7 separate regions of the Mus musculus genome follow, and all the other regions are reported to be linked to region 2. The links are microRNA targets in miRTarBase. Many come from high-throughput screens and were not tested one by one. Region 2 holds a microRNA gene; each other region holds the end of a gene's coding sequence.

The links. The annotated mature microRNA mmu-miR-344e-3p reads GAUAUAACCAAAGCCUGACUAU and lies in region 2 at 1,927-1,948, opposite strand. An mRNA with a match to its seed (bases 2 to 7 or 8) in the 3' UTR can be bound and repressed. Matches are read on the target gene's strand: a 7mer-m8 pairs with bases 2 to 8, a 7mer-A1 pairs with bases 2 to 7 and ends in A, and an 8mer does both.
Region 1: the mRNA of Crp is a reported target of mmu-miR-344e-3p. Seed matches in the 3' UTR shown: 7mer-A1 at 2,280-2,286.
Region 3: miRTarBase lists Cd69 as a target of mmu-miR-344e-3p. Seed matches in the 3' UTR shown: 7mer-A1 at 1,134-1,140.
Region 4: the mRNA of Pou4f2 is a reported target of mmu-miR-344e-3p. Seed matches in the 3' UTR shown: 7mer-A1 at 2,051-2,057.
Region 5: miRTarBase lists Rassf5 as a target of mmu-miR-344e-3p. Seed matches in the 3' UTR shown: 7mer-A1 at 1,006-1,012.
Region 6: miRTarBase lists Usp6nl as a target of mmu-miR-344e-3p. Seed matches in the 3' UTR shown: 7mer-A1 at 965-971.
Region 7: miRTarBase lists Tmem161b as a target of mmu-miR-344e-3p. Seed matches in the 3' UTR shown: 7mer-A1 at 1,761-1,767.

The regions. Positions count from the first base shown.
Region 1 is chr1:172,698,443-172,701,540 of GRCm38, reverse strand. It overlaps Crp (C-reactive protein, pentraxin-related), which reads right to left. Exons shown (of 2, transcript NM_007768.4): 2 at 1,575-3,098. The coding sequence ends at 2,514. Among named protein-coding and RNA genes, the nearest start is that of Crp, 1.9 kb to the right of the region's middle.
Region 2 is chr7:61,733,613-61,736,710 of GRCm38, forward strand. Mir344e (microRNA 344e) reads right to left here and starts at 1,990; the gene lies at 1,925-1,990. All of the region lies in intron 6 of A230057D06Rik (RIKEN cDNA A230057D06 gene), which reads right to left.
Region 3 is chr6:129,265,444-129,268,541 of GRCm38, reverse strand. Cd69 (CD69 antigen) reads left to right here. Exons shown (of 5, transcript NM_001033122.4): 5 at 173-1,218. The coding sequence ends at 281. Among named protein-coding and RNA genes, the nearest start is that of Cd69, 8.4 kb to the left of the region's middle.
Region 4 is chr8:78,432,113-78,435,112 of GRCm38, forward strand. Pou4f2 (POU domain, class 4, transcription factor 2) reads right to left here. Exons shown (of 2, transcript NM_138944.3): 2 at 897-3,000. The coding sequence ends at 2,625. Among named protein-coding and RNA genes, the nearest start is that of Pou4f2, 3.0 kb to the right of the region's middle.
Region 5 is chr1:131,175,689-131,178,786 of GRCm38, forward strand. Rassf5 (Ras association (RalGDS/AF-6) domain family member 5) reads right to left here. Exons shown (of 6, transcript NM_018750.4): 6 at 722-2,989. The coding sequence ends at 2,837. It also overlaps a transcript of Eif2d not described here. Among named protein-coding and RNA genes, the nearest start is that of Eif2d, 24 kb to the left of the region's middle.
Region 6 is chr2:6,441,237-6,444,332 of GRCm38, reverse strand. It overlaps Usp6nl (USP6 N-terminal like), which reads right to left. Exons shown (of 15, transcript NM_001080548.1): 15 at 513-3,096. The coding sequence ends at 2,591. Among named protein-coding and RNA genes, the nearest start is that of Gm13388, 5.2 kb to the right of the region's middle.
Region 7 is chr13:84,294,388-84,297,469 of GRCm38, reverse strand. Tmem161b (transmembrane protein 161B) reads right to left here. Exons shown (of 12, transcript NM_175187.5): 12 at 1,504-2,867. The coding sequence ends at 2,590. Among named protein-coding and RNA genes, the nearest start is that of Gm41011, 48 kb to the left of the region's middle.

The sequences.
Region 1 (3,098 bases), not on the chromosome of region 2:
CTTTTGATATTCAGATTTATGTAGAGCAGGGCTCTCTGTCTTTTTAACTTGCACTTTAATGCTCCTGGATAAGCTTGATGCATGATCCCTGGAAATCCCAGTGCAATGACACAGCATTGCCAATATCACCTAGAGTGACCAGCATGGAAGGTTGGTATTATCCACTTATAAAAAAATTAAAATAACAGCACCAACATTCCCAAATCAAAATCATCCTCAACAGATATCATTTTATTAAATTACATCTAACAACTTCATATATCATGACAATTCACCAGGTACCTAGGAATATATTTTCTAAGATTATATCAAAGTATCTGCCAAAAAGGCAAATTGCTTCAATTTAAGCACTATAGAAATATTTATTAAGATTTTTTAATCCACACTGAATGTAAATACTGCCTGTTAAAATTTCCCTGGATAAAATCATCGGGGCCAGAGGCTCTCTGCTAGACTGTGTGTAGCAAGGTAGCCATAATTGAATTCTGAAGAACATATTAGCTCATCCCACATCCCTAAGGAGTTGGGACGGCCTTCTATAATTAAGACATATCTCCTGGTTAGATTCGTTAACTAGAAAAGAGCATCAACCCTCTCTCCCACTTAGCTGAGTGTCAGGGTGTATGGATCTGCCCTAATTGGACAATGGAGAATTATCTGCACTCACATTTTTGCCTAAGAATGTATTTCCCTAACTCTTGTGCTTCTAAATGGTTATCAAAGGTCAATTAGGGAAATCGATATTCATAAATAATTTCTTTAAAGACACTCTGTTCATCCTCCTAATGGTCTGAACTGAATTTTTAGCAAATCAGAAACACACATGCTTTCAACCTAGACAAAACTCCAACAGCACTATTTTCATGGTGTATAATATTTAGGCATGTAGTACAAAGCCAACTAGTAATAACAGAGGGTGGCTCTTATACAAGCTTACTGTTTGTGTAATCAGAGCTGGCTCTTACAATGACCTTTAAATTAATTAAATCATTTCTCTTGACTTATAGGTAAGAAAACTGAGTTCAAAGAAGTCACATAATTGTATGATATAAAACCAGGACATGGACCTGATTCTAGAACCTCTAAATTTAACCATTCTATCCTATGCCTTCCCTAAAACAATGATTGAATAAGTCCCTTCTCCAACCTGAATAAGGCCTTATGAAATGAATTCATTGTTGACCCAGTCTGGAAAGACCATGATAAAGGATGCCTCCAGGAAAAGTCAGCAGTGTTGAGGGGTCTGTTTCTATAAAGCAGCCAAACAGACTGAAGCAAATGTACTCCATCACTGGACTTGACTACAGATTCATGAATCTCAGAAGTCTTTAGATGTTTGTTCTCAAACTGGAAATCTAAAAGGGAGAGTATCAGAACCCCACACCTGAACCCCATGAATGACCAGCTATCTCCAAAGTAGAGCTATTCACCTCAGAGAGACTCATCACAAAAGACTCCAGCAGCAGGAGGTAGTATGGCTTGGATATGATTCTGCATGACAGTGACAGTCAACCTGAATTTAGAGTCTTGATTTCAGAGGGTCAATAATGAAGTTATTCATAAAACTGCTCAAATTCATTCAAGCCAAAGGTGACTTTATTGACTCATGGACTGGGGAAGTTCAGGTACAGATTTTATTCCAGAAAAGAACTGATTCTGAGCACAGTGTAGTCAGTGCTCCATCACTCTAGGTTGCCCAAACAAGACCTGCATAATGACACCAATTGACATGCAACATGGACAGAAGAAATTTCACAAAGACAGAACCCTATATGAAGAGCTAGAGGTAATCAGTGGCTGCTGAGAAAAGGACAATCAGTCTTCAGGGAGGGGCCCTCCTGATAGATTATCCAGTGTCCAGTCTTCAACAAAATACAAGAAGCACTAAATGTAATCAGTAAGATGGATGACTGATGAATAGATGATAGATAGGTAGATAGATAGATAGATAGATAGATAGATAGATAGATAGATAGATAGATAGATTGATTGATTGATTGATTGATTGATAGATGATAGGTATTATGCATATGTATATATGCATAAGGCTAATAATAAGACATCATGAATTTGAGAGAGAATTTGGAAGGATAGGAAAGGATCTGAAGAGGGAGGGATAGAAAGTATGTAAATACAGCACTCAAGATGACATTATAAAACAAAAACAATAAAAAATTATTCTCCTTTCTGTGCATCTATTTTTTCATCTATGTGAGGGAGAAGAATTATGTCTGAAATTTTTTCAATTATATATATATATATGGATATTTACATATATATATATAAAACCATGGGTAAGTCAGATTCTCTTTGGTAGAGTCCTAGTGGGATGCTTATGCTGGAAGCCTTCCATTTAAATTCCGTGCTCTAGTGCTGAGGACCACAAAGCAGAGAAGTGAAAGGCCATATTCACAGAACAGACCTACAACATCTGCTGGGGCTAAAAGGTTCATAACCCGAGACAAGGGAGAGAATGTAATCCCAGGAGGTGCTTCAGGGCTCACAACAGTAGGTCAGGACCACAGCTGCGGCTTAATAAACACATCACCCTGTGCTTTATAGTTCAGTGCCCGCCAGTTCAAAACATTGGGGCTGAGTGTCCCACCAACATAGACTGTGCTGATCTGTTCTGGAGATAGCACAAAGTCCCACATGTTCACATCTCCGATGTCTCCCACCAAAGACTGCTTTGCATCAAAGTCACCGCCATACGAGTCCTGCTCCTGCCCCAAGATGATGCTTGCATCTGGCCCCACAGTGTAGCCCTTGTGCAGACTTTTCCGCACCTTGGGTTTCCCATCAATCCAGAACTCTACAATCCCCGTAGCAGACTCCCAGCTGGCACAGATGTGTGTTGGAGCCTCAGGAATCTCTGAAACCATGAATCGTACTTCAGCACCACCCACTCCAAAAGTATACTGTTTATCCTTATTCCAAAATATGAGAATGTCGTTAGAGTTCTTCTTGGTAGCATAAGAGAAGACACTGAAGCTGCGCACTGTGCTCAGAGCAGTGTAGAAATGGAGACACACAGTAAAGGTGTTCAGTGGCTTCTTTGACTCTGCTTCCAGAGACACATAGGAAGTATCTGACTCCTT
Region 2 (3,098 bases):
ATGGTGGCTCTGAAACAAACTAGCACTTTGCTTGGAGCTGTCTACTGGCTCCATCTCCAGTCAGTTACTGAAACACTCTTCCTTGTCTTTACTACCATACAGTCGGGCTTTGATTATACCCAGGACCAGATGAGTCCTGAAATATAGCCAGAAGCCTGACTGATCAAATCCTTCCCAGTGGACATATTTATTTGCTCTCCTTGCTTCTGATTGATGGAGAATGGAATAGGATCCAATCAGGAGATAGAGCTCATATTTAGGCATTGACATCAAAGCCTGCAGTTACCTTGGAGATCTCCATCAGTACTGCTTATTGATACCTCAACCCCCTCCACCCTAGTTTCCCAGAAGGAAATTGATAAATTGAAAGTGAAGGGCAGAAAAAAAAACCTGCTTTACCTTCTTTTCTCTGCACTGACTTACAGAAAAAGAAGTCAGTAGAATCTTGGGGGATGGTCCTATTTCTGGCTCCTTCTGCCTAGCTTTAAGCTATTAGCCAGAAATGTGCTGTTTCTTTTTTAGCCCACTTATTGTAACATTAATCTTCTGTATTTTGCTGCCTGCTGAACAATTGTGATGTGCATTTTTCAACTTATCCAATTTATCTGTTACATGCTCTGTGTATGAACTTTCCTTGAAAATATAATATGTATCCACAAAGAGGTGTTTGTCTATTTAGTTTAATATTCAGCTCATGCCTAGCTCTACCTGTATTCGGGTGGTATTAAAAGCTGCAGTTTTCCATAAATCTGAAAAATAATAAATGCTACTGAGTGTTGAAACAATGCTTACATGGTATGAATATTCACATCAAAATATGGTATATGTGGAATATTTAATGTGTGGATTGTTTTCTATATTTCTATACTGGATATTTTCTTATTTAAATTTAAAATTGTATGCCCATTCCACAATTCCCTCCCAGAGAAACCTGTCCAATCTCCCCTCCCACTGGTGCTATGAGGATGTTCTCCACACACACAATCCCACTACCCCACCCTGGCTTTCACCTACATTGGGGCATTTAGCCTTATGAGAGACAAGCCCCTCTACTCTGATTGAAGCCTGACTCAGAATTCTTCTGCTACTTATGAGGCTGGAGACATGGTTCTCTCCTTGTGTACTCTTTGGTTGGTGGTTTAATTCCTGGGACCTCTATGGGGGCTATGTATAGTTGATAATGTTGTTCTTCCTATAGGGTTGCAAATCCCATTCAGTTCCTTAATGTTTGGTTTTAAAGAGGTCATGGCATTTTCTGATGCATATAGAGCTGTAAATTTATTTCTACCTTCAGGAATGTATTAATAAAATAAAACAGTTCAAAATTATACAGATTTTATGACAGAGACCTGATTTCAAAAAAAAAAATAGAATGAAAATATCATGAAATCTTAGGACAACCTGAGAGAAAAGCATTTAGAAAATCTAGTAAACAACAACAAAAGTATCACCATAAACAATGGTTGCAATGTTGAATGCCTTTGGCTATTAATGGTAACATGCTACCAGCATCACTGTCATAACACTGCTTGGATTGTGGGTATGGTAGTTTCTCTGCCTGTTAATCACATCTAATTTTTCTTATACTCAAATCTGGTATGTTGAGCACCTCTGCTGCCATCGTGGTACTCACAGTGGCTGATCTAAAAACATGAAAATGCCAAAATTGTTCTGTAGTCTGTGTCACAAGCTGAAGATTGAATGTTGTATCTTCATTACAGAAGGCACAGCCCTGCATGACCGAGGCAAGAAATGGACAGCAGATGCCTGAATTTCACATGTGGAGGCATTCCCTGTACAGGAACTAGGAGCCAAAGAATCAGAGAATGGAGGCTCTGAAACAAAAAAAAGCAGTTTGCTTGGAGCTGTCCACTGGCTCCATCTCTTGTCAGTTACAGAAGCACTCTTCCTTGTCTTTAGCACCATATAGTCAGGCTTTGGTTATATCCAGGACCAGGTAAGTCCTGGAATATAGCCAGAAGCCTGACTGATCAAATCCTTCCCTGCAGACCAATTTATTTGGTCTCCTGGCTTCTGATTGATGGAGAATGTGCATTCAAATAGAGAATGGAATGAGATCCAATCAGAAGAGAGATCTCATATCTAGGCATGGACAGCAGAGCCTGCAGTAACCTTGGATATCTACATCAGTGCTGGTGATTCATAACTCATACACTCCTCCCTGCCTTCCCAGAAGAAATGAGAATAATTGAAAGTGAAGTGCAGAAAAAAACTGTTTTACCCTCTCTTCTCTTCACTGACCTACAGAAAAATACCTCACTGAACACTTTGGGGTGGTCCTATTTCTGCCTTATTGATTATCTTTAAGCTATTTTACAGGGATGCTCTGTTAGCTTTTGAGCCCACTCACCGTATTTCTTGACATTTTTGCTGCCTACTGGGCAATTGTATTGTGCCTTTGTCTCCTTTTCCAATTTAACAATTGTATGCTCTGTATATACTCTTTACTTGAAAAAATATTATTTATTCTTGCATCTAGAAAGAATTGTTTTAATACCAAGGTTAATATTCTGCCCATTCCCTAGTCCATGATTACTCAGTTTCAATGAAAAGCTGCAGTGGTCCATAAATCTGAAATATAATAAATGCAACTCAGTGTTGTAAACAATGTTTGTGTGCTATATTATTCACATCAAATATGGTGGATGGAAAATATTTGAAGTGTGGTATTGTTTTCCATTTTTTTGGATATTTTATATTTACATTTCAGATGTTACACCCTTTACCAGAGTCCTCCACAGGAACCCCCTGGGAAATCTTATATAAGTATGTTACTTTACCCAATTACACACAAAATACTGGCACCCTGCCCTGGTATTCTCCTAGAATGGGTCATAAAGCTTTCTCAGGACTAAGGGCCTCTCCAGTGATTGATGCCTGGCAATGCTTTCCTCTGCTACCTATGAGCATGGAGACCTAGGTCCCTCTTTTTGAACTCTTTTTGATGGTTTTGTCCCTGGGACTTCTGGGAGAGTGAGTCTAAATAATTGATATTGTTCTTCTTGCTATAGGGTTGCAGACCACTTTCAATTCCTTAATGTGTGGTTTTAAAGAGGCCATAGCATTTTCTGATGCAT
Region 3 (3,098 bases), not on the chromosome of region 2:
TCTGTTGCCTCTACACATTAAACCACGGCTACTTGGCTGGATGTCTTGTGTTTTGTGCTTCCTACTCAGGGAGCAAACAGAAAAGGCAGAGGCCCCTGCAAAGTTGACTGTCGTGTAACTGGCTAGAAATGATGGGCTGGAAATAAATCTGAGTGTCTCTATGGCTTGACAGGTTCAACTTGACGGGGTCTGGGAGGTGCGTGTCCGTGAACCACAAAAATGTTACCGCTGTGGACTGTGAGGCAAACTTCCACTGGGTCTGCAGCAAGCCCTCCAGATGACGAGGATACATAGATGTATAAATGACTGTGCCATAGCACCACAGGAAAGTTGTGTAACTGGATACTGCTCTGCAGTTGAATTTTCCACAAAGACTGCACAAACCAACTTTACATCATCCTGGATCAACTCCAGATAGAACTGTGGGACATGAGGAAGAAGATCCAGGAAGATCCCTTGACCAGGAGCTGAAACTGTCACCAACTGACTGCTAATCACATCAAGGATGAGAGGATGGCTATGAAGCCTCATCAACGCACTTTATTTTTTTTTAAACCTAGAATGAATAGAACTGACTAGCTCTAGAGTTACTATTTATTGCCGAATGACTGCTACAGCCAGTGCCTTTACGCATTTGCACTATTTGGAGGGGTTTCAGTGGTAGGAAGAGCTGAATGTAGGTACAGGAAGATTTGACTGATTAATGATTTTCTTAAATTCAAAAAGCATTCACAAATAGAACAATGCTTATGAAACCAAGCTTTGCAGTAACTCCATCTATTTACAGAAACTTTGCCTCATTATTTTGTCAATTGTTCTCCCCCAAAGAATAAGAGTGGCCTTTTCTTTAACTTCCTCCGTGTAGACAGCTAATTTTCAATGGTACATATTTCTTAACCTTTAAAAACCTCTGTAGCGTATTTCAAGGAAGAAAACAAAAGCACAGCATATGAGTAATATTTGTAGAGCAGATTTCAAAGTGCTGGAAAGAAAAGTGCAATACGTGTAGTGGCAGATCTCTGTCAGGACACACCCTGTGGTTTGACCTTGGAATAACTCCAGTCTTGTCACATAACCTGTTTGTGTCTTTCCCAGTCCTTTGTCCAAAATATTTCCCATGTGCAATAAAGTGTTTATATATTTGTTTGTGTTTTAAAACCCACTATAAAGTTTAAGCTGTTTCTATGTATGTGAAAATAAAAGAATAGATAAATGGTTTCCAGCGGTTCTCATTCAAACTGCATTCAAAGTACCGTGTTATAGCATCAAACTGCCTTCCAGGAAGGGGGGTCTCAAAACCTTTAGATTAGTGAAGTTCACAAACCTCACCAGAGAAGAGTCTTTGTGCAGTGGCCAGTGGTCAATGCAAGGTCTCCAAACTAGTCAGAGCATGGAGAATTGGAGGCTGTGAAGTGCACAGCCACAAAATAAGAACTCTCCCCAAAAAGGTGCAGGAAATATCATGGAAGCCAGGGCAGCAAAACTGTAAGATCCAGAGGTCAGGGAGGACTGGGTAAGAAACATCTTCTGGGCTTGAGAGAACCATTGCACTCATGAATTTATAGCCACAAGACCTGCACAGAATCAAGCCAGGCAACATCCCCACAGGATGGAAGAAGAGCAAGGGCATCCTCACTCCTACCTGAGAAGCTATTGACAGTCAATAGCTACTAGGAGAGAAGCAGACAGTTCTTATTCCCAAGTATGTCCCCAGTAATTGACTGTGCTCCAGTGAATGACCCCATATCCATGCATTATGAACAGCATTAATTGGTGAATTAATTGTGAATTAGCAGCATTAATTGGACTCAATGGGATTTATAAAAAGAAAAGGACATGAAGTTTGGAGGAGTTGGAGGACAAGGTGGTGGTGAATATGATTGGAACACTTTGCATACATGTATGAAATTCTCAAAGAATAGCAGCAAGTTATACCATATTGGAAAACAGAGAACAGTAGAACGCCTACTAAAAGTCTTCCACAATGCAAAACCCTAGTCTTATTAACACACATTCATGCCAAAAGGATACACTCATTTTTGCATATATCAGATGCTCTGAATCTCAACATATCCAAGGTTCTGAAAACATTTTGTTCAACTCTGTTCTGAAAACATCTTTCTCACTATATACTTTATTCACACACACTAATTCATGTAGTATATGTGGGTCATGGATGCCTTCAAGGGCTACTCCATCAGGGAAAATCTTTGATCACTCCCAGAATGAATGCTGCAATAACATCCTTTTGTGATGCCTGAATACAAGTGTTTTATATATATATAGTGCTCACCCTTATGATATATAGAAAAGAAACATGGATTTAGAGTTTCTTCTTAATGAAAAATAACATGAAGTTTACTGGCCACTGAGAGTCTCAGTTCCATAGCTACAGAATGAAGCAGGTGGCCTCCTCACTTAAATATTCTATCATTAATAACCACAGCCCCGTCCTGACTCATGTTGAAAAACAGACTTGTGATCTGCATGGTGTGGATGTGTAAGTGGAAACACTGCTGTTGAGAGCCACAGGATGAGAGACAGCTGACCCGAGTCTTACTTCTGCCATCCAGTGGATCATGAGTTAACCTTTAGATTTAATTAGAGATTGAGTTGAAACTAATAAGAAACGTATGCAAAATGACCTTAAAACACCACCAAAAGCTCAGAGTAGTCATGTGATATATCAGCTATTGATAATTTTACATGTGAAACACTATGTCCACAAATTTTTTGTATTGTATAAAGTATTACTTATTCAAAGCATGCCTACTTCTACATAGCATACATAGGTTACATGTAGTAGCATACATTTAGTAGTAGAATTAAAATATCCAGCCACTACCTGATACAAGTGTGTAGAGTTTATATCCACATGTGAAACAGGCAATAAAATAAATTGTTATGTAATGGATGTGACAGAAAATATGTATGTTGCTATCAAAACCCTTTTGAAGTACAGAACTCTTTTTTTCTTTCTTTTTTTTTTAACTATGGTCAAACTTTTGGATAATTTCACAATAAATCTTATAAGCTACACTCACCTTAAGTGACTGCAATAATATAAGCTGAGGAAAACTATCAGTGTTTTGTGTCTT
Region 4 (3,000 bases), not on the chromosome of region 2:
GTCTCATGCCAATTAATTCCATGAACTATGATTGGTGTAAAAATACAAATCATAGCCTTACTAGAAAAAGAAACGTTGAAAGCCCAATACATTGCCCAACAATTGTGAAGGACCCGAAAATTATTATAATGGGAGAGGAATTGTCTTAAAGTCGGATTAGAAAAAGAAGTGGCTGTGCCAAATGGGCAGAATCCCATGGCCACATGAATGTTTAATAGACTTCCTCCAGATCCTGTGCCAGACAAAGTCACAAAAAGGGGCAAAATTTTGTTCCTTTTAACAACCCAGGATTTTCCTCAGCCACATCCTGTCTATTGCAATAATATTAATTTTCTTAAAGGTTATGGGGAATAGAAAAAGACAGAGACAGAGGGACACCAAGACAGAGACTTTATTCATCTGCCAGAACCCCAGGTTGATTTCCAGGACAGGCTAAAGAACTGAGAAGATGGGGGCTGCACTCTGCTCCTGGCTCACCAAGTCCTGCCCCCACAGTTGCCACACCCAGACTCCCACAGCTACTGAAATGTGGGCTGGGTCCCTTTCTTCCTTTGCCCCATAGGAGATGGGAAGGAGTGGCTGAAATAGTTTCCATCTGACCTTGGCTTTGTAAGATTCTCTTTACAGAATTATTTCAAGTCTGGAGAAAGGACTCCAGAGGAGCTATATGGAGCCAGACACCATGATTTCATCTAAGCTAAAAAGCAAAGCGCCCTGTGAGATGAGCCCTGGCCATTAACGTGATATTATAAATCCTCTTGTTCTTTTATCCTTTCCCAGGGAGTTGCCTCTTACAAAGTCCAAGCCGTGTTTTAATAGCGGCCACTCTCTGTGTTCCTGTCTTTTAAAAGAATCAGCACCAAAATAATTCCCACATAAATGATTAAAAACTGCATCACGTTTTAAAAGTCATTTAATATTAATAGCATATTTTAATGAAAAAAGCAGCATACTTTGCCAGTAAAACATTAAAATCATCTCTTCAATGAAAGACAATGAAACAACACTCAAAATAACTTAATACATTACTATAGTAAATAACCCATTAACAAAAACAAGAAACGAGGTCATATACAGAACTCAGAACTTTGGAGAGCCTCAAATGGATCAGCAATTACAGCAAATTCTGTAAGAATATATTCATATGTGCATCATTTTGAATGAAATATTTACAATAGATAAGGTACCAGTCACTTTGTACCTATTTGTGTGTGTGCTCCAAAAGGATTCTACCAAACACTGTGAATTTACAAGCAGTGCACTGTCTTTCTTATAGTTCCAAATTTTTCCCCCTACAAACAAACCTCCTAAAAGGAAAAAATGAAGGACCCCTATAAAGGTCAAAATGTAGCAACAAAGCAATCGAAAACTGGGAGATGGAAATACCTTGGTGAAATCTTAGAATCCAGCAGAGTAAGCACCAAGTGGAGACTGCACCTAAGGCTGGGAAAGTATACACTGCTCATCGTTGGTACCTCCAGCTGCTTCTTCTCTTCTGTTAGAGATGTGTATGTGTGTTTGTGTGTAGGCATGTAAGGTGAGTGAGAGAGCACGTGTGCCGCGGGGACAATATGGGAATCCCCATTAAATATGTAAGGAAGTAAACAAGACTTCGGACAGTGAATCTGGTCTACACGGTTAAGACATCAATTATAAAGTGTCAGCTCACAAATTAGATCACTACCAGTCAAAAACAAAGGGAAGAAACAATCTTCATTCAAAGTGAGAATATACAACTAGGCCAAAGCGAACACAGTCTAAGTGGGAAGCTGTAAAAATCCAGGACCAAAAAGAAAAAAAGAAAAATGTTTTGAGCATCACTAGCTATACGTATCCGCCGGTTTTATTTTTCAGACTAAAGAAGTTTAATTAATTAGGATGTGCACAAAATTAAGTTGCCAGAGAGATAAATTAATAATTTACAGAGGGTTGTACGGCAATAATCTAATAATAGCTGTCAAGATCAGTGAACACAGCAGGCGCAACTCCTTCCATAAGTGTTAACACTTCAGAGAAGGAAGAAAGCGATAAGAACCACAGTAAAAATATATATATAATATACAGTGTAAATGCAGAAAATCTGCCATCTTTTTTTAATTCAAAATACTTTAGAGATGTCTCTATCATATCACATTAAGCATCAACTCTAGCTTCGAGTTTCAGTCCTGAATCAATTTCTATTTCTGAAAAATAGCTGCAAAGTGTACTTTTAAACATGAACAAGGTGACGTCTGTAAGAACAAAAACAAATCTTACTTGCTCATTCTTGCAGGGTTTTCAAAAGCTTGTCCCTCTACCTTCCTGTTGACAGTCAGCTCCTCGCTTTCTCTGATGAAGCCGAGCAGCCCAGGTGCAGTTAAAGGGGACAGCTCTGCTACAACTTGACAAATTCCTTTTCGTGTTGTGTTGTTTGTGGTTTTGGTTTTTCTTCACTGCGAAACCGGTTCACAATCTCTCTGATTTGGGCTCAGCTGCTTGCTTCTTTGCTCCTGGCTTGGTCTGGGTTCACATTTACCGGAATTGTTTTCTGATAGCCAAAGTAGAAAGGAAAGAGGCAGAAGAGACAAGAAGGGGGTTAGAAAAAAAGAGGGCGAAGGGAAAGGGCCATCCCTGGAGAAGGGTCCCTAAATGCCGGCAGAGTATTTCATTCTCTTCTGTTTCTGCCTCTGGTTGCAGAACCAGACGCGCACCACATTTTTCTTGAGATCCAGCTTTTCGGCGATGGCCGCGATCTTCTCCGAGGAGGGCCTTGGCTGGATGGCGAAGTAGGCTTCCAGAGAGCGCTTCTCCGGCGCCGCGATGGACGTGCGCTTGCGCTTCTTCTCCGCGCCATTGAAGAGCTCCGGCTTAGTGAGCTTCTCGCGGTGGGATTTCTCAGCTTCCTCCAGCCACGCCTGCAGGATGGGCTTGAGCGCGATCATGTTGTTGTGTGACAGCGTGAGAGACTCAAACCTGCAGATGGTGCTCTGGCTGAGCGAGCCCACGCCCGGGATCTTGAGG
Region 5 (3,098 bases), not on the chromosome of region 2:
CACACACACACACACTGTGTATATACACATGGTGCACATTTGCCATAGCATGCATGAAGAGGTCAGCAGAAAACCTGTGGGAGCGAGCTCTCTCCTTTCACTGTATAGTCCCAAGAGATCAAACTCAGATCCACAGGCGTGGCAGTGAGCACCTTTTACCCACTGAGCTCCCTCACCCGCCCTGTGATTGACTAATTTTAAGGATGCCTGGTGAAGAGAGGCAGAACTGAGTAAGTTGGAGAGCCCATGCATGCGTGATACATGAGCAGCACTGGAAGGTAGGTGGTGATTTCCCTAGTTAACTTTATGTGGCTGTTTCTTGAATTTAAAAGATTTCCGTGCTGGAAATCAGCGGGGCCAAAATGCAGGCTGCTTTCGGACCAGTCCAGCCCTCTGCAGTTGAAGTCATCAGTGACCCACACTCACATCATCATTGTAGATAATTCCAAGGACAAGTGCTGCTTACCTCTGTATCTAGAAAGCTGTAAGTCCCCTCCCCGTCCAGCACCGCAGAGATGGAGAAGAGGCAGCCAGAAGCAGTACCCTCTACTGTGTGGACAATTTTCTCAAAAGCGTTTGAATGGTAGCCTTCATTCTCTAGCTTACTGGAGAAGAAAGCTTGGCTCTGTCTAGAAATGTACCTGCAGTTGCCTCAGTCTTCCTCTCTCCAGCCCACTTTCCAGAAGATGTTGACGTTCAGCAAGGACGATTCCATCGTGACTTGTTTTTACAGTAAGCTTTTATTACTCATTAAAAAACATAGAAAGACATTTAGAAAGAAAATATCCTGAAAAGAACACATACAGAGCAATAATACAACCATAGAAGGCACTACCAGCAGTTAGACTCCTCTGAGACGTCAGGAACTCCATGCTTTCCAGAGGCTCAACCCTCAGTACAGGTCCTGGGTCTAACTGTGCTTTAAAGTCTGAATCTTACCATCATTTTCTGAATAAACGCCTTTCTGTATATATAGCTATATGCCTCTATGTGTATATACATATATATATAATACATGAATTTTTTTTTCTTGTCAAAAATAAAAAGCCATCCATGGGGGGACGTTCTCAGCAGCATTCACAGTGTTTGCAGCAGGAGCCATGCCTTCTCCTAACGCTACAGACATGCAGGATGAAGGGAATGACTTTCCACGTGCCCCTGTAGTACACAGCAGGACGGGGGCTTCTTAAGGGAGAGAGGTGTAAGGCTGGGCATGAGACCTCAGGCAGCCAAGGGGCTGATGGCGTGCACAACCTCAGAGTCGCTAGCTCATGTTGCTTTTTGCAGCTCTGCAAACGATGCACAGTTTGAATGACAAGGATTTGGCGTTCTTCTGGGACGGGAGCAGTGTGGCTTCAGCCTGGGCTGGTAGGGAACTTTTTAGGCTACACGGAGAAGCTTGGGCTTAAAACAACCCGAGGAAAGGGTATGGAAAGGCAAGCACAACATGAAAGTGGTCTCCTCTGGAGGCTCAATTGAAACACTGGCCCTCTTTTAAAGGGACAAGTTTTTCTCCATCTGTATTGAGTGTCTTTGCAGTCCTGGCTACTCTGGCTGATTGGTTTTAAGTCTGAACTACTCAAGAGTTGGAGTCATAATCTGATGCTGTCAATGCAGTCTAGTAACCTCGCATCTTCAAAGTCAAAGCCTGACCGGGAAGCTTGATGGGAAAGAGGCTGATCATCAATCACCCTGTGCTCTGAGGCTGTGTCCTTGGCTCTATAGCACCATTGTCCACTTCCTGCCAGGGGCAAGCCAGCAGAGAGCTTCAAGCAAAGTGCCCCACTCTTTTCTCTGCAAACAAAAAGGCACTGAAGTCACCAGGGAAGTCAGGCCCACGGGTCTGCTCAGTGCTGTGCTGCGAGCAGACCATGCTTCCCACCAGAAAGGACTCCAAGTTGGAGGACTTTACCACTGTAATCAAAGCTACTACTCAGGCAACAGCTGGAGACCCTAAAGCCAGAGGTGGAGGTGGAACTGAAGGCCAAGGAGATTCAGGCCCCCCACCCCCTGCAGGCGTAGGCCACAGACAGCTTGGATGTGCTTCTCTGTAATACTTTCTGGCAGCTCAGCAAGAAACTAAAATTGATAAGTGGCTGGTTTCTCTTTGGTAGAAACCCATAAGGAGGACAGCATTAAATTCAAATGTTAACATATCAAACATTGGACAGAGACATGCTGAAATACCACACAGATGTGCATATATGTCTTTGGGTTTGCATGCACACAGCCTGCTGGGTAATAAGAGACGGCCTGGTCAGGCTGTAGCCTCTTGAAATCTCAGGCTGACCCTGAGTGTCTAGTACTAGAGAAGAAGAGGCACCTTGGGGCAAGGACAGTCCTTTCATGAGCATTTTCCTGCTTTCAAGGACTTAGCTAGAATGAATATGCCACATTTGATCCTTAAATATACTATACGTGGCCAAAAAAAACCAACCAAACAAACCAAAAGAGGAACTGAAGAGTAAATCCAGAGAAAGAACACACAGGCTCTGAAACCTTTCTTTCCTTTTGCCGGCTGGTGATTGATTGGAGTTTGGTGACCAGAGAGGCAACTATTTGGTTTCTGAGAGGCCAGCAGACTGAGCAGGGAAACACTGGTCATTCCACAGGAGTTCTGATCCCAGGCGGAAGCTCTCCAGAGCCATGGTGTGGTGGGTTAGCAGGAATCGAACCCTGCATAGACACTGCGTGGAAGAGACTTTGTGCCACATCTGTTAACTGCTGGGCAGGCACTGGTGGAACCACCAGAGGTGTCTTAACAGTAACTCTTTGTTGCAAAATAATTAACAATAAAATAAATTGGAGGGCACTGAGAGGACAGGAAGTCGGCTGGTTACCCCGGCTTCCCTTGGGACTCTCGTAATGCCTCTTCCAGTTTCTGACGGAATTTGTTGTACTTCTTTTGCAGTTGATGGATCTTGTCCTGCTCCTCTTTTTCCAGGATAGTTAAAAAGTTCTGGAGTTCAGGAATGGAAAAGGCATCCCACTATGAGAGGAGGAGGAGAAAACAAGTGAAAATGGTTAGAAGTTGACATGTCTCAGGGCTCTGCTGTTGCTCCACAGTGAGCCAGCCAAGTACACTTTTCAGCTGAAGG
Region 6 (3,096 bases), not on the chromosome of region 2:
TCAGACTGGGATATATAGCAATACTGTCTTCAGAAACCAAAACAACAACAACAAACCATTTTTAAACATCCCACAATAGAAACAGAAGACAACTTGGGCATTTTTCCTAGAGAGAGTTTCAAGATGACAGTATTAAGAGACACAAGGGAAATATGCTTCTCTGATACCTGCGTTTTACCAAAGATAGGATTTAAGTGGTCTGGGGTGAGACTTGATAATTAAAAACAAAATAAACAAACAAATGAACAAAATGAACAAACAAACAAAAGAAAAAAAAACCCAGACCCTTAAGTTCATTAGTTAGATACAGGTCAGCAGGACAATTCCTTAAGAAACTTATACTACCACACCCAGACACTTACTTCTGACGTAATGGGCAAAGTGACCATGAGGGAAGCCTAAGCCATGGCCCGGCCACTGTGGGCACGCCGTTATGGGGCATGGCTGCTCATCTGCCTGGAATGTCCCCAGCAAGCCTTTCTATAAATAGATTTTGAATCACTTTGTCAATATTATTTCTCTTATCATTTCTTTTATTTAAAAATAAATTTAAAATAAAATTTTATAGTGGCAAAATAATTTTAAATTAAAATTTCCTACTTGAAGCTAACAGAGATATATATCTTATAGAAGGGAAGACTTTCCTGCCATTAGTAACGAATGCTTAAGCCAAGGAAAGGTGATGCGGTTCAAAACACGGTCTCCCTGGAAATGCAAGCAGAGAAGCACAGCGTGGGTAAACGCTGCTGGTGAGCCCGTGGTGCATCTGCCAGGCCCTGCAAGGCCAGGACACACTTGCCACGGGGAAGCTGCACACAGAAGACACAGAACAAAATACACGGATTACTTTTAGCATGTTAAAAACAATCAACCACATCAAAAAGTATACAGATAAAAAAATGCCATAGATGACATAAGAAAATAGTGTGTCCATATATAGCATATATATATATATATATGTATATATATAATCTACATTATTTACCACTATGATATATACTTTCTGAAGAGGCAGAGAGCTGCCATCATGAACTAAACTGTACAGCTTGGCTCCTTACAAGTCACACTTTAAGACTGAAATTAATATCCTCAGCTACATGTCTATATACATTTATATCTCACCTTCCACATGATCTAAATCAAGAGCCTGGTTATTCTGTCAGGAGTTGGGAGTTTCAGTGTGGTGTTCACCTTTAATATACTGCATTTGCTTCCACACTTAATAACATCATTACCACATTAATTAACTTAGATTAGAATCATTATATACATAAAAATATTGTCACGTTTGCTAGATAAACAATGTTACTTTCATGAAAACATATTCTTGTACCTCACAAACTTAAGTCCCCACCTTGGAGCAGGGGGAGTGTCACTGTTGGACTTTCTAGTTTCTGATATTCAGATACAAGAAGAGGGTAACGGTGGGCGAGCACCTACACAGACGCCGCCATCGCTCTTGGAGAACCCAGCACTTTGTCAGTGTCTCGGTGACAGTAGTGTGTGATAGCATAAAAGGAATCATCACCTTTTTTAAAAACCATGAACTTCAGTTATTTTTCACTGAAAAAAAATTCCAAAAGTATGAAACAAACTACCCTTTTTCCCCTTTTTTTACAAAGATCAAAATTCTAGATTAAAATTCCTTATTAATCATTAGGGTATTTTTCACAATTTCGACCGGGGCCCAGTAAGTGTTAGCAGTATCCACCCACTGTGCTCTGTGAAGACCGAGTGCCAGAGAAAGCCTGTGAGAAGGGGAAGCAGGGTGAGAAGCAGCCTTCCTTATGGTTAGAGCTGCTTCCCCACGACTGTGAAATGCAATCTTCTGCGGCCTGGGGCCCTGCAAGGTCTGACTTCCCTCACACCCGGCCAGACCAGAGCCCGGGGCACAGCAGCACCAAGACTGCTGGAGATGAGGGGACTCAGTGAGCACTGTGCAGCCGCTCACTCGGGTAACCGACCCACTTTAGGCACCATCAAGTGGTGAGCCTTTAGCTTTCAGGAGGAGATAAAATGGCAGCAACTGAAGGAGAATGACATTCTGTCAGGCGCTGGATTCATCTCTAGTCAGTTTCAGTTTAGAACCTGGGTTAAAATATGTTTGGGCAGGGTGGGCAGAAAGATAAAGGGTTAAAAAAAATCCACTGTTAGTCTATGTATCTAGATTAAAGGTGGTTTTAAAGACAAAACCTATATGCAGTTGCCTCGTCTGTCTATGAAAAGGCGAGGGTCGGCCCTCAGAGTATCTGCTCTATAGCGGTCAGTAGTCTACTGTTCTAACAGCAACGGAACAGAGCGGGTCTGGGGAGCTACGAAGGGACCAGCACAGAGAGCCGCCCTGTGTGTGCAGCCCTCGTGCTACTGCTGGGTCCCCAGGGTCCCCTATTAAAGGTTCAGCCAGGATGCAGCTGACCCACTCTTCTTCAGCAGCCTCTGCAGAGGATGAAGCCTTCCCACACTCTTATCACTGACACACACTGAGCTGCGCACGCTGTTTACAATATAAAAAATACTGCTCTGGCAATTATAAACATAGCAATGTGGGCATATTGTTTCTATTCTCTTGTCAGTGAATACAGCCACACGCTCACAGCAACACTGATTCCTGCACAGAAAGTCCCTCTCCATTTCTGTAGTGATGTGCGGAAGGTGAGGGCCCTGCATATGGATACCCAGGAGGACTGGCATCTTCCACAGCTGCAGACATCTTATACCTCACTGGACTGTCTACAGACACTTCTGGAAGGCCATGGGCCTGAAACGGTATGTGCTGAAAGGCTGCATAGTTTGGTAAATTGCTTAAGTGGCTACGGTGAGCATCCCGAGTCCATGATTGGCCATGCATCTCCGGTCTGTATGTGTAACTAACTTCTGACCATTTTCTGTTCTCTGGCAAATAGTCCACCGGAGGAAGGATGAACTGTCCATTCTTTGGTGACCCCGAACTGCCGTAGCCCCTGGCACCCATGTCAATGGGAAGGACTTCAATTCGACTAGAGGGCAGAACAACAGGAGTTGGGCGGCTGTAGGCTTTCTCTGGAGAAGTGTCAACTGAAAGAGAGGAACCGTAAGGTCTCCTGGAAGGGTTAATTT
Region 7 (3,082 bases), not on the chromosome of region 2:
AAGCACTTCAAGAAATATCCAACATCCTTAACCATCAGAGAAATGCAAAGCAAAACTACTTTGAGATTCCATCTTTCACCTGGCAGAATGGCTAACACCAAGAACACACGTGACAGCACATGCCAGTGAGGATGTGGAGCAAGGGGAACACTCTTCCATTGTTGGTAGGTGTGCAAACTTCTGTAGCCACTATGGACATCAGTATGGTGATTGCTCAGAAAGTTAGGAATTCTCTAACTCAAGATCCAGCCTATGCTACCCTTGGTCGATGCTTTATCACACCACAAGGTAACTTGCTCAACCTTGGTCACTGCTACTCTACTTCAGAAATTAGAAATTAGAAACAACGTAGGTGTACCTCAACAGAAGATACAGAATAGGGTATTATTCGGCTATTTAAAAAATGAAATCATGCAACTTGCAGGCAAATGGATACAAAAAAAAACCATCCTGAGTGAGTAAACCAAGACCCATAAAAATAAATATGGTATGCATTTACTTATATGTAGTTATTAGCTTTTAAGTAATAAATAAGCTACAACATGTAGACCTGAGAGGTTTTGGTATAGAGAAAAGGACCGCTGAGGGGGCACATGGATTTTCCTGGAGTGGGAATATAGAGTAAATTTTATGACTGGAATGAAATTGGAATGGGGGGGGGTGGTCAGGAGTGGACAGACTAGGGAAAGGAGGTGGGAAGTTTGAAAGGAGACAGGATTGAAAGAGGGAATGAGGGGAGACAGCTAGAACTGAAGGGCATTTGAGGGCAGGAATGGAAAGCAGGGCAGTTGAAAGTTACAATAAAATGACTCCTAATACTCATAGATCAGTACCTTACTCAGCCAACAACAGAGACACTTCCTCTTATAGCAGATGGGAACACATAGAGACTCACCAGCAGATATTATGAAGTGGGGAAGAAAGAGAGAGACACACAGATAAGACTGTACACACCTTGGAACACACAGCTGTACTGGATTTGTCTCCATTAAATCCCTCTCCACAGAGCTCAGGAAACTCTGCAGAAGAGGCAGAAGGTGTCTGGGAGACAAAAGAGACAATGGACACCAGAACACGGCCCTCTCAGACATCTGAGCAAAGCTCTTATGAGTTCAGAGACTAAAGCAGCATGGCCTATGGGTCTGGACCAGGTCCCCTATATATATACTCTAGTTTTCAGTTTAACACTTTATGGAGAGGGACTGCTGAATAAATGCAGAGTGGTTCTCTAACTCGTATGCCTATTATTGGCATCTTATTTTTCTGTTGGCTTGGCCTGTACAACCATGCTATGATGGTTTTTGTTTTCTCTTATTGTATTTTATTTTGTTATGTTTTGTTGTTATCTCTTAGAAGCCTGTTCTTTTCTAATGAGAGTCAGAAAGGGAGTGGATCTGGGTGTGAGAGGAGGTGAGCAGAAAGAGGAGTTAGAGGGATAGGAACCTGGATTTAGATATATCGTATGACATAAGAATTTATGTTTAATAAAAGGCAAAAACCAAAAACAGAAAATGAAATTTAATTTGTGAGAAATCAACTAATCTTCATGACATTTTAAGTACTATTATCATATATGTACAACAAATAAATTACACTCTGTTGAGCTTTAAAAAAATGTATTTTAATCTCATTCCAAACAGAAATTTCCAGATACAAATACATCTCATTCAAATCATTGTTTAACGTACGTTCTGAAACTTAAAATATTATAAGGATTCAATATTTTCATCTTTTATAACCTCAATATATTATATATTTAATATATAATATATACACAATACATACACGTAGTCAGCAGGATTGCAAAGTAATTCTCAAATTTGATCAGTATTGATAAATATTTTTAGATTAAACATAACTATTTAAAATCAAAGAAAAAATAAAATACAGCAAGGCCCAAAACTAACAGTGAGACCGCTGATGTTCATATGGCCAATCATTTAAAAAGAACTTTCAAGCTGGGTGGCATTCACTTTAAAAGAATATTCCTGCTACTCTCAAGTAACAGTACTTGTAGACAATAGGTAATTTATATCTCCATTCAATTTAAAATGACTATGCAGCTTTTCTTACTGTAATATACAGTAGCTTTCTCTTCCTTTCTGTTGGATTTTTTTTTAAGACTAATACATTACCAACAGAAGTAATTTTCGTTCCTTTCCCTTCCCTCGAGCATGGCTCAGTTTGAAGATTGTTCTGTAGGCAGCAACTATGAGTAGTAACAGTACCACAACACCATGAAAAGCAGTCAGTAACTGGAGTCCTAGAAGAAGTCTAACAGACTGTTGGAGGTTTGCAACTGTAAACCAAGATAATCAGAAGGATTACCCCTGCAGAGAGCCCTCTCACATTAGTTCTCTCAATGAGTTACAATTCCAATGCCACAGTGTGTAACAGTGTAACAACCTATCTCATGAGTTTTAAATATTACAACATTAATTCACCCTGAGAGTACAGAGGAAGCATTCAAAACAAAACACTCCAATAATTTTTTTCTCCGTTCTATTTGCATTCTTCTTTTGTCAATCCTTCAAGGGCACAGATATTTGAATTTAAAGTGTGACTTGGATATCCGTTTTTGACTGAAATTCATGCCACTGTCAAATACTGATGATAGAAAAGCCCAAAAAGGCTTGTAGAAAAGAGGCAAGCTGCAATCCACCATGTCAAAAATGACAGAAGTCCTCGAAAAAGGAGAGGCGTGAAGATGTTTTTTAAGCTGCTCAGGGCCACTGTGATTTGTGTAACAGTTACCTTCATCTTCCCATCAGGTGATGGTAGTTCAGGGTAAGCCGAGTTGGCGGGGAGATTATTATCCACTGGCAAGGGAAAGGCGGCTTCTGGATAAATTCCCCAGGAATGATTACCTAGGATATTCAAGACACAAAATTTGATAAGTAGATGATTCTAAGGATCAAACAAAATAAAACAAACAAACAAACAAACAAAAAAAAACAAAAAAAAAGAAGAAAAGCAAACCTTAAATCCCCACCCATATTACACATTAAAAAGTTTGGTGGTAAACAATTTTACATTGAAAATAAAGTAATAATTTTGCTATCTGTTAAAGTAATAAAATTAA